Linked DNA regions of Pelodiscus sinensis. The protein of the gene in region 2 purifies or fractionates together with the protein of the main gene of each other region. This does not show direct contact. Links are inferred from orthologs where the notes say so. Each region holds a gene or a part of one and is shown on either strand. Other genes may lie near its edges.

Region 1 (3,746 bases), on a different chromosome or scaffold from region 2:
GAATAATATTTGTCAGCTACTGCCATCTAATGGAGCACATTTAGTTGGCATTCAGCAGTTTAGGTACTGATTCAAAGTGCACTGAAGTCACTTTCATTAATTTCAATACACTTTGGATCAGACCCTTATATGTTTTACTTTAGTTAGGTTTTCACATTTAAATATCTGTAAGATAAACCAAATTTTGGGCTTAGAATCTCAACAGTGTCCCTTTCAGATAAGTACGAGCAAGTTCCACACACAGATTTCTTTAGAAGAAACTTGCCGCTATAACAGAGAAGCAAGAAGGCAGGAGTTGGAAGAATGGAAAAAACTCCAAACAATTTAACCAATTTTACCCAGTTAGCTGCATTATTTTCTTTTAGCTTCTCTCTAAAGTATTCGGTCACTTTCTTCTCCCAGTCAGGACTTGGACCATTTTGAGCTAGAAAACAAACTGCATTAAGAATGGCAATAGTACAGTACATTCAACTTTTATTCAGCCTGATAGGCAATCTGCTGATGTGAACTGAATTTTAAGAGGACTTTACTCCTACACAACATGCATATTATAACAGCCTTGATACCATTTGTATTTTCTTATCTTTCTGTAAGAACCTTAACAGAGATAAAAGGCAAATATATCCACTGCATAGGTGGGGGGGGGGGGGGGAGGGAAAGCTCAGACGCCAGAGATTTAAAAAACACTGAAGACTGCAAGGAATATCGGGGACTGATTATGTGTTACTTTTCTTTATCACGTGAATTATGTAACCTTTTGTAAGTGTTATTTCTGCACAAGCTCCTATTCCAGTAATTAAGAAACTATGCATTATGTTTTGGTTAAAATTAAGAACTTTTTTTGGCATGTTCTTCAATAGTATTATTGGTAGTTGAGAACAATATACCCATCACTACAAGGGAGATATAACTTAAGTTTAAGGTCATTAGAGTGCTGGGCATCAAACAGAGCTGAATTTTTTTTTTAAAAGCAGTTTCAAATACTAATGGGCTGGTATTAGAATTCATTACAATGTTTATAAATCTAGACAAAAACATGTTTTAGAAACATCTAACATGCTATGGTTCTGTCCATACTAGCTCACCAAACTGTTACATATACCTCCTTAGCAAGGACAGAATTAAAAGTATAGCTTCTTAAGTTTCAGTCCAATGTAGACAGGAGCCCAAATTATACATGATGTACCTGTGTTTCAATAGGAAGTCCTTGAAATTACATCCTTTCTAATCCATCTCAGCTGCCTCTATTTTTTTTAGCTGCAGATACAGGGGAATCTAGCTGCCTTCACTCCTCATCTTGGTACACACTTTAAAAATCTCCTAGTGGTCATCTGAAGAAGTGGGTTGTGCCCACGAAAGCTCATGATACCATCTACATGTTTTGTTAGTCTATAAAGTGCTACCAGACCATTTGTTGTTTTTTTCTCTAACAGACTAACTCGGCTACCTCCTGAAGCTAGTGTTCAATGACTTCCTGAGTTGCTTCCTCAGCAAAGTTTTTTTGCATAGTGAGTCCTATTTTTCTGTATGGTGAAGGAGTCTTTCAACCTTCTTTCTATTTGAGCTCATGGGAGAGTTTGCAGAGTGATTCAACAGATTCAAATTCAGGAACTTTAGTCATCACTTTTTAACATCACCCATGAACGACTTGTCTTACTCTTGCAATGCTTTCTTTCCCCAACACTATAATCTTTCAAGACTTGTAAACAGGAAGAAACTGCATTCTGAACGCATATTTTTCAGGGGAAAAATTGACACTTTTGGAAAGAGGAGATATTGTTGCAAAGTGGAATTACTAATGCAAAAGGAATAGACTATTGTAAGTAACTGTGTATTCACACCCTGGGCACCAGCGAATGTGCATGTCTTGCCCTGTCAGGTCTCTCATCAGGAAGGAGACGTCTTCACTAAAGTATTATTTAAGAGATTTTGAGAGAGAATAATTTTGCGGTGTTTCGAGACTTTTTAGAAATTTATGTCTCGGCTGCCTGACAGCCCGGTTAGCTACAGGCAGCAACTCCCGCCCCCACATGTCCAGCACTTGTAGCCCCCCCAACTTCTGTTTCTGGCTATTTCAAGGCACAAATCAGCCCCCAGCACGGCGCTCCGCACCGCGGGGTAAGGATCGCTTCCAGGCTCCGGTCCTGCCCCAGGAGCACCCGACGCAGCAGCGGGCTTGGCCCCCCGCCCTGCGCGGGCTGTTACTCGACTCCTTCCACGCGCCAACCGAGCCCCGCCAAGCCGCCACAACCGCCCCACCGCGGCCACTTCTGCCTCAGCCCCGGCTCCCAGCCACCCACCGCCGCGCTCCCGAGCGTGGCCATGGGCACCCGCAGGGCCCGGCGCTCGCCCGCCCGCTGACTCCCCTCCCCGCCCCGGGCGCCCCATTATCCAGCTCCCGGCCCCGCGCCGCCTTCCCACAGGGCTGCTCCCCGCCAGCCACAGCCCCGCGCTCACCGAAGATGCCCTGCACGATGCTGAGGGGGCTGTTCAGCCAGTCGGCCACACACGGCATCTTGCGGGCGTTGGGCGGGAGCCGGGACTGGCCGAGCCTGCCGCTCCCGCAGATCGGGCCCTGCGCCCCACCGTCGCCACGCGCCCGCCCTCCCGCGAGCTCCCCGAGCTGGGTCCCGAACTTCCGGCTGAGGCGGCCTCCCTCCCGCGGCGGCCGGCGCGGCCCCTCCCCTCTCACCCTGACGCTGCGGCGTGAAGGGGCGGGTGGGCTGCGCCGCCGCCATCTTGGAGCCGGGCAGCGCTGAGGGCGGAAGGGGCCGGGCTGGCTGCTCCTCAGGGCTGGGGAGGAGACGTGGAAGAGCCACAGCTATGGCCGCCACGAAAGGGCCCGGGGCCGGTTCCGTCGGCGGCACCAACCTGCTCTTCTCCTCCTCCGCTACCGAGTTCAACTTCACTGTGCCCTTCATCCCGGTCAGCCAGGCGCCCGCCGCGCCCCCGGGGCCCGCTCTCCTCGGCACAGGTATGCGGGGCTGAGCTCCTGGGGGCGGCTGGCCGGGGATACTGGGGGGGGGGCGCGAATTGGGGGGAGGGGAGTGATGAGGGATTGTTGGGGAAGAGCTGAGGGGGTAGCTGGGGTGGTGGGAGCATGAGGGTCCTGGGGCGGGGGACACGGTGTTGGGGAGGTGTCGGGGGGGGGGGAGGGATGTGATGGGGGGCATGGTGTCGTGGGTGTCTTGGGGGGGGGGAGACATGAGATAAAGGCCGTGGTGTGGGGGACATGGGGTAGGGTGTGTCTGAGGGGCAGAGGGATGAGATGGGGCCTTTGTAGGAGAAATGGTGTTGAGGCGGTGGGGGGAGAAGGAGGAGATGGGGGAGGCATTGGTGCACGTTGGGGTGGTGAGGGAACGGTGTCGGGGATTAATAGGGGAGGGGGATGAGATGGGAGTCCTGGTAGGGGGGGACACAGTGCTAGAAGAAGCAGAGAAGAGACGAGGGGCCCTGATGAAGGGGACTCAGTGTTGGGGTAGTGGGAAGGAAGGGTCTATAAAATGGGGCCTCGTGGGAGAAATGGTATGGGGGGGGTGGAATGTTGCATGGGGCTTGATAGACTCAGAGTGGGGAGGTGACCGTTCAGCTCCCTTTATTTGTTGCCTGGTGGCGTGTTTGTACAGTTGCCTTTCCCCGTTTCAACAGTTATGATCTGCAGCATTCTGTGCTGACACACAGGTGTGACTTCTGTGCCATGAATAAAACCTCTGTGGACAAGCTGCCACCTAAAAATAAGTTTTTCC
Region 2 (3,746 bases):
ACCTTAAAGACACTGTCTACAGTACACTGTAGAACTGAAAGTAGCAAAGCTGTTTGAGATAGTCAATTTCATTCACAGGCAGAGTCAATTTCATTCACAGGCAGGATCAATTAAATGGTGCACCTTGAATATAGCCCTGGAAATATGAACTGGAATTAACCAAATGGAAACATTACACATTATTTTTGAATTTATCCTTCAAAAGCTCTTATAGCTCACCAGGTAAATAATATTCCTTTGAGGCACTAATATGCATGTCTGAAATGCACTTTGCAGCAGGAAAGTAGAAACTTCACAAGAGCTATTTGTGCAATCGAATGTGAGAAAAAGTGAGCGTCTCCAATCATGTTTATTTTGTGTTATATATGAAAACTGTGCAGAGTCATGTTCTCAGTATTTACTTTTACAATCCATGGGACATTTTTTCGGTAGGTGTCATTATACAGGAACCTCATTTTGTGATGATACTATACTTTTACACCTGGAGGAAAAAAATATCCTCCTCTAGGGTTCTATTACCATGGCTGCAGACCATGTTTGGATTCACTGAAAAGCACTGCTGTAGGAAGCTGCAAAACAGTATTTCAGCAAAGGATACAGGGCTGCCTATAGTGAAAGTAGGCCACTTTTCAATCAGAAAATCTAGAAATGTTTGACATTTCTGTCAGAAAACAAGTGAAATCTCAGATACGGGGCAAAGAAGATTAATACAAATATAACTCTTTTAAATGATTGGGTGGATGCAAAGTCAATTTAACTTAAAATTTCCAGATTAAAAAATATATTAATATTTAATATCATAATTGTATCACAGACAAAAGTTAGAAGATTTAAAGCAAAGACTCTAAACTCACTTTTTTGTGCAAAGATTTTTTGTAAGCTGTTTTTGAGAGATTTTTTTGTGCTGAAGGTTCCTCAGTGGCTTTCAAACACCAGGTAGATTCAATATATTGTGAGAATTGAAACAATTTCCTTTTGTCAATTATCTGTTTAACTTAAAGATTAATTTCATCAGGTCCTTACACTTGGCTCTTTCTGAAGTCAACAACACCAGCAGACTCCATCTAGTCTCCCACAGTACAAGGGGCATATTACAAGACATTAAACTTTTTTTTTTTTACATACCATTCCTCCCAAGGGAAAAAAGTAACCCAGATCCTAAAGCAAAAAAGCCTAACACAACCAACGGACACTGTTCTTCCTATCCTTGCAAAATTGCATTTATAAAGATAACAGTGTTTTATAAAACAATTCAAAATCCTTGGCTAGAAGCAATATTTCAGAACCATAAGGCCAAAGGTAAGGACCAAATCCACATACACTCCAATCTCACACACCTTCCATACATAGGAGGCTCCTGTAGTACTTAATAGAGGTTCCTTAGCCACAGCACAAACAGCCCACCTGTTCTCCAGGTTCTTCCTGACGCCACATCCCACCAAGTTCCTTCGCCCCCTTTCCTCCATGCCTCCTTAATTCCTTTCCTCCCATGATAGGGTTACCACCTGGCTCTTACATAGCATTTGCGATACACATACACAATGCAATATTTGCAGCATTTCCTTCCACTGCTCTTCATCACCTCCTAAACCAGGGTCTCTATATTGCTGGTAAGACATTTACCTTTCCCCACCTCTAATATCATTAGCTCACAGACATTCACCTTCCTTCCCCCCCCCGCATTCCCCTTCTGTTCTGAAATGTGATTTGTCCTTTTCATATGTGTTCACTTTTTTTAATTGTATCCTTTGGTATATATGGTTGTGACTATTTTCTTCCACTATTTGATCTGAGGAAGTGGGTCTGGCCCCACGAAAGCTCATCGCCTAATAAACCATCTTGTTAGTCTTTAAAGTGCTACATAGCCCTGCATTTTGTTTCTTCTATATTTCTGGTTATTGGGGGGAGGAGGGGAAGAATTATATTCCTCCCCTCTCAGCAGAATTAAAATGTCACCATCCCATTTTTAAAACTTTCCCTATTGGGGGGTGGGTCATTCTTCTCCCCCCCCCCAAAAAAAACCCCACCCACACTCCCCAAATGTTCCTTTTGGAGCCCCCTCACATCCATCCAGGCATTAGTGATTCAGAGGGGGGCGGTGTGGGAGTGCGGGGGTTCAGAGGAAGGGGGGTTTAGGGGAGGGGGAAGGAGGAGGCAGGGGGCAATAGGGGGACAGGGACCCCAAGTTACCCTGGAGGGGGGGGGTCTGCCTCTCAATGGGGGGGGCTGCTCATGGGTGGCCCGGCCCGGGGGGGGGCAGCCCCTGACTATAAAGGGGGCTGGAGCCTCGGGGGGGGGCTCACCAGCCTCTGAGCCACGGCCCCGCCACCCCCCGGGGGCGCCTACCTGCCGCTCCGCTGGCTCCCGCCGCCGCGCTGCCCGGCTAGAACTGACACCGGGCGGCCGGCCGGAGCCGGCCCGAGTCCCCCGCCTTCCAGCGAGGCCCCGCCTTCCCGAGCGCCCATTGGGCGCCGCGCCTTCCCGTCTACGTCAAGGGCGCTCGAGCCGCGGCTTCATTGGCTACTTCTCCGCCCTGCATGTAAATGAGGCCGCTTCTGCCCGCCCCCTGCCGGGAGCAGAGCCCAGCCTCAAGCTTTTTGCGAAGAGCGCGGGGGGGGGAGCGCCGGAGAAAGTCAGTGCAGCCCCTCAAATCCTCCATGCAGCGCCGCGGCCCCTGTGCAACGCCCCCACGCCGTCCGTGCAACCCCTCCAAAACCTCAGTGCAACGCCTCAGGCCCGGTGCAATGCCCCCTGTCAGTGCAACCCCCCCCCATCTCAGTGCCACAGCTCAGCCCCAGTGCAACCCCCCCAAAACCTCAGTGCAACCCCCCCAAAACCTCAGTGCAACGCCTCAGACCCGGTGCAATGCCCCCTGTCAGTGCAACCCCCCCAAAACCTCAGTGCAACGCCTCAGACCCGGTGCAATGCCCCCTGTCAGTGCAACCCCCCCCAAAAATCTCAGTGCCACAGCTCAGCCCCAGGGCAACCCCCCCAAAACCTCAGTGCAACGCCTCAGACCCGGTGCAATGCCCTGTCAGTGCAACCCCCCCAAAACCTCAGTGCAACGCCTCAGGCCCGGTGCAATGCCCCCTGTCAGTGCAACCCCCCCCCCAAAACCTCAGTGCAACACCTCAGACCCGGTGCAATGCCCCCTGTCAGTGCAACCCCCCCCAAAACCTCAGTGCAACGCCTCAGGCCCGGTGCAATGCCCCCTGTCAGTGCAACCCCCCCCCCAAATCTCAGTGCCACAGCTCAGCCCCAGGGCAACGACCCCAAACCGTCACTGCAACCCCCCCAAAACCTCAGTGCAACGCCTCAGACCCGGTGCAATGCCCCCTGTCAGTGCAACCCCCCCAAAACCTCAGTGCAACGCCTCAGACCCGGTGCAATGCCCCGTCAGTGCAACCCCCTCACATCTCAGTGCCACAGCTCAGCCCCAGGGCAACGATCCCAAACCGTCAGTGCAACGCCTCGACCCCAATGTAACGCCCCCTAACGGTCATTGCAACTCCCCAAATCCTCAGTGCAACCCAGCCCCCCTGCAACGCCCCCAAACCATCAGTGCAACCTCCAAATCCTCAGTGCAACCCAGCCCCCGTGCACCACCCGCAAACGGTCAGTGCAACTCCTCAGCTCCTGTCCAGGGCTCCCAAACTGTCAATGGAACCCTCAAGCCCTCAGGGCACCCCTTCACCTCCAGGTGTACCCCCCCACCATCAGTACAAGTGCAACGCCCCCCGTTGCCG
Region 3 (3,746 bases), about 3.2 Mb from region 2:
GACTGTGTGTTCTATCCTGCAACATTTACTCAAGCACAGATACTTCAATGGGACACGTGAGTAAGGACTACTGTTTGGAGCTAGAACTGCAGATCTCTAGTAGGAGGATCTAGTCTATTCCCCCCTACAATACAGAATTATTTCTCTTAGTATGCATATACTGGGGTTTGGGATAAAATTTCAATTAATCATTTTATTTATAAACCACGCAACACACACTCTGCCATTGCTCTGTTTAGAGAAAGGGGGATCTTGTGGGCCATTCAAATGAACTTTAAATGTTGTTATGAAATTATATGAATTTGTTATTTACAAAGCATCACCCTCATTTTACTATGTTCACCCTCACAATTACTGTATTCAAACAGCAGCATTAGCACAACAATTTAAATCCTGTTTACCATAAACCAGAAGGATTTAAGGAAAAGTTGTTACACAATTAGAGCTCAATTCTACAAGGGACCTGAGGGCATTCAATATCTTGATTTTTATGGTTCCATCTTCATAACTTCCCCCAGACCTTTCTGGGGACATTTAGAACACAATAAAAGAAAAAAAATGATAAAACCATTTCAATCATTCTTTTAGTATGAGTCCCCTCTCTCTCTTCCTTACTGTTTCCCTCTACCCCAAGTGCATTGCTACAGAAAGAGGAAAATGCAATGGGATTAAGGAAGAACAACAGGTCAACCTACAGCACTATGCTCTTAAAACAGTATAACAAAAAGAAAGTTGCTAACATCACACTGACAGTAAGGAAAAAAGTAGCTTGGGATCTTACCTCCCGCAGACAGAGGGATTTGCACCTCTGTACCATGCTACTTACCACCCTGTTGTCAGTCACCACTCCAAGACCTCCAACTGCTCCCCACCATAACCCATCAGTGCCCACAGTTCACATAATGGAACAACGGTATCTCTCTCTCTCTAGCCATAGTCTCAGCACTGGGCTCTTCATAGTTAGCGCCTGTTCTTTGACTGTTTCAATCACAGAGTGCCCCAATCACTGCTTAACCACCAACCCAACCTCTCCCTTGATCCAGCCTTGTTCCCTGACCTACCTTTTCTCTTCAACACTTGCCCCCAAACTTCCTTGTAACATATGAGCCCAAGTCCCCATCACCTCCAGCACCTACACCCACTAATTTTCAATCATCCAGCCCATTTCAGCTCTTTTAACCATACCTGTCCGTTCCCCTGAGTGCTCCCTAAGCCTCGCATCCCATCACATTTATCACTCTCAGGCTGAACCTCGCCCTAGCCTCCAAAGGGCCATAAACTCTCCCTTGGCCTCCATTATCAGCTTCTTCTCAACCTCACACTGTGGTGGGTGACCTCCTCATTCTCCTTGTCTCAAGTTGCTACTGTGGGCATGAAAGCCCCGGAGCCCCCACCTGTGCGTGAACGCCAACGGCCCCCTCCCCTCATGGGGATAAAGCCATTCCGCTCCCCCCGGCGTGGGGAGTAAATCCACATTTCCCCATTGAGAAATGAAGCACTTCACCCCCCCCCAAAACTGGGGTGAAACCAGCTCCTCATGGAGTTAGACCACCCCACGCTCCCCACGGGGGGGGGTAAAGCCCCTTCCCACTTCACCCCTTAAATTGGGGGTTCAACCCCTCAGCCCTGCTCTGTACCCCAAAACCTCCACGGGGGGGAAGCCCCCTCACATCCCTCCCCCCTGAACTGGGGGTCAATCCCCTCAGCCTCCAGGGGAGGGTTAGAGCCCCCCCCCCCAGCTTTCCCATAAGGGGTGAAGCTCCCTCATACTTCACCCCCAAACTGGGGTTAAACCCCTCCTGACCCCCCAGCCCCCCCTCGGGGTGAAGTCGCCCACCCTGGGGGTCAGGCGCCCCCGTACCCAGCCCCTGGGGGGGCGTGAAGCCCCCAGACCCGTCCTAATAAGGGTGCAGACCCCCCCCCTCACAGCCCCAGTGTGGGGCTTGAACCCCTTCCTCCAGCCCGCCTCGGGGGGTGAACCCCCCTCCCCCCGGGGGGGGTCAGATGCCCCCTCCCCCCCAACCCCTTTATTTACCGCCATCATCAGCACGCGCGAGCTGTCACCGAGCGCGAGACACCCCAACCGGGGCCGGCCCCGCCCCCTCCCCGCCCATTGGCCGCCAGCCTCGCCCCGCCCCCCGACGCCATTGGTCGGAGCGCACGCCACACACTCAACCTTCTCCGCCCTCCTCTAGCGCTGTACGCCCCATTCCCCGACACCACTTACGCCATCTTCGCAACGCTCCCGTGAGCGGCGTGGCGGGTTTCTTCGGCGCGGTACGCCCGCGAGCGAGCGCCGCGGAAGCTTTCCCGCGTGTTAGGCCACTTGCGCGGCACAGACCGCGAACTCTTTACTAGAGTACGTGAATTGCGTGGGCTTGCCGCTCCATTCTCCGCGGCCCTACGCCGCTTGCGTAGCGGGAGATTTCGAACGCGGGACTAGTGTGCGTCGCTTGCGTAGCCGGCTGGGAGGCACTTCAGTGGCTTACGGCAGTTGCGCTGCGGAGTGGGAGGGGGAGAAGGGCGGAGGGGCGGGGACTCGATGGCCCCACCCCGGACCAGTGACGTAGCTGGGCTTTGTGAATCGCAGGCTGAAGTTTGGTTGAGTCACACGAGGGTAAATAAGGATGTTTCAGAGACAAAGAGACTCTTAAAGGGGCAGGGGCGTCGTGTGCTACAGGCCACGCGCTGCGCCTGGGCAGAGCAGCAGCAGGCTGGGGCGGAGAGGGAGCAGCACAGGGCTCCAGCTAGCCCCCTGGGCCAGGGACACCACAAGGGGCGCTGCCACGGGGCCACGTCCAGCACCGCCATTCCACGGGGGGCGCTGCCACGGGGCCATGTCTGGCACTGCCATTCCACGGGGGGCGCTGCCACGGGGCCATGTCTGGCACTGCCATTGCACAGGGGCACTGCCACGGGGCCACGTCCGGCACCGCCATTGCACGGGGGCGCTGCCACGGGGCCACGACTGGCACCGCCATTGCACAGGGGCGCTGCCACGGGGCCACGTCCAGCACTGCCATTGCACGGGGGCGCTGCCACAGGTCCACGTCCGGCACTGCTATTGCACGGGGGCGCTGCCACGGGGCCACGTCCAGCACTGCCATTGCACGGGGGCACTGCCACGGGGCCACGTCCAGCACTGCCATTGCACGGGGGCACTGCCACAGGGCCACGTCCAGCACCGCCATTGCACGGGGGCACTGCCATGGGGCCACGTCCAGCACCGCCATTGCACGGGGGCGCTGCCACGGGGCCACGTCCAGCACTGCCATTGCACAGAGGCACTGCCACGGGGCCACGTCCGGCACTGCCATTGCACAGGGTGCTGCCATGGAGCCACGTCTGGCACCGCCACTGCATGGGGGCACTGCCATGGGGCCACGTCTGGCACCGCCATTGCACGGGGGCGCTGCCATGGGGCCACATCTGGCACCACCATTGCTTGGGGGTGCTGCCATTGCCCGGGGGCACTGGCACGGGGCCATGTCTGGCACCACCATTGCATGGGGGTCACGTCCAGCACGTGGTCACGTCCAGCAGCGCCATTGCCCGGGGGAGCTGCCACGGGGCCACGTCTGGCACTGCCATTGCATGGGGGCACTGCCACAGGGTCACGTCTGGCATCACCATTGCATGGGAACACTGTCGGGGCCACATCTGGCACTGCCATTGCATGGGAGTGCTGCCACGGGGCCACATCCAGCACCAGCATTGCACAGGACCATGTCTGCCAACACCATTGC

What was found.
Region 1: the proteins of FKBP5 (region 2) and MCMBP purify together in Homo sapiens (affinity purification with mass spectrometry; 3 studies listed by BioGRID and IntAct, with this or other methods). This does not show direct contact. The link is inferred for Pelodiscus sinensis from reciprocal best matches to the Homo sapiens genes FKBP5 and MCMBP.
Region 3: the proteins of FKBP5 (region 2) and USP49 purify together in Homo sapiens (affinity purification with western blotting; 4 studies listed by BioGRID and IntAct, with this or other methods). This does not show direct contact. The link is inferred for Pelodiscus sinensis from reciprocal best matches to the Homo sapiens genes FKBP5 and USP49.

The regions. Positions count from the first base shown.
Region 1 is NC_134718.1:58,399,744-58,403,489, reverse strand, and holds the start of MCMBP (mini-chromosome maintenance complex-binding protein), read right to left. Parts: upstream 2,669-3,746; 5' UTR 2,516-2,668; coding exon 2,458-2,515; intron 437-2,457; coding exon 339-436; intron 1-338. Other genes in the region: SEC23IP (SEC23-interacting protein), read left to right, coding at 2,824-2,974. UniProt on the Homo sapiens protein: Associated component of the MCM complex that acts as a regulator of DNA replication.
Region 2 is NC_134737.1:12,704,718-12,708,463, forward strand, and holds the start of FKBP5 (peptidyl-prolyl cis-trans isomerase FKBP5), read right to left. Parts: upstream 2,476-3,746; 5' UTR 2,347-2,475; intron 1-2,346. UniProt on the Homo sapiens protein: Immunophilin protein with PPIase and co-chaperone activities. Component of unligated steroid receptors heterocomplexes through interaction with heat-shock protein 90 (HSP90).
Region 3 is NC_134737.1:9,534,810-9,538,555, reverse strand, and holds the start of USP49 (ubiquitin carboxyl-terminal hydrolase 49), read right to left. Parts: upstream 2,618-3,746; 5' UTR 2,228-2,617; intron 2,123-2,227; exon of another isoform or gene 2,036-2,122; intron 1-2,035. UniProt on the Homo sapiens protein: Deubiquitinase that plays a role in several cellular processes including transcriptional regulation, cell cycle progression or innate immunity.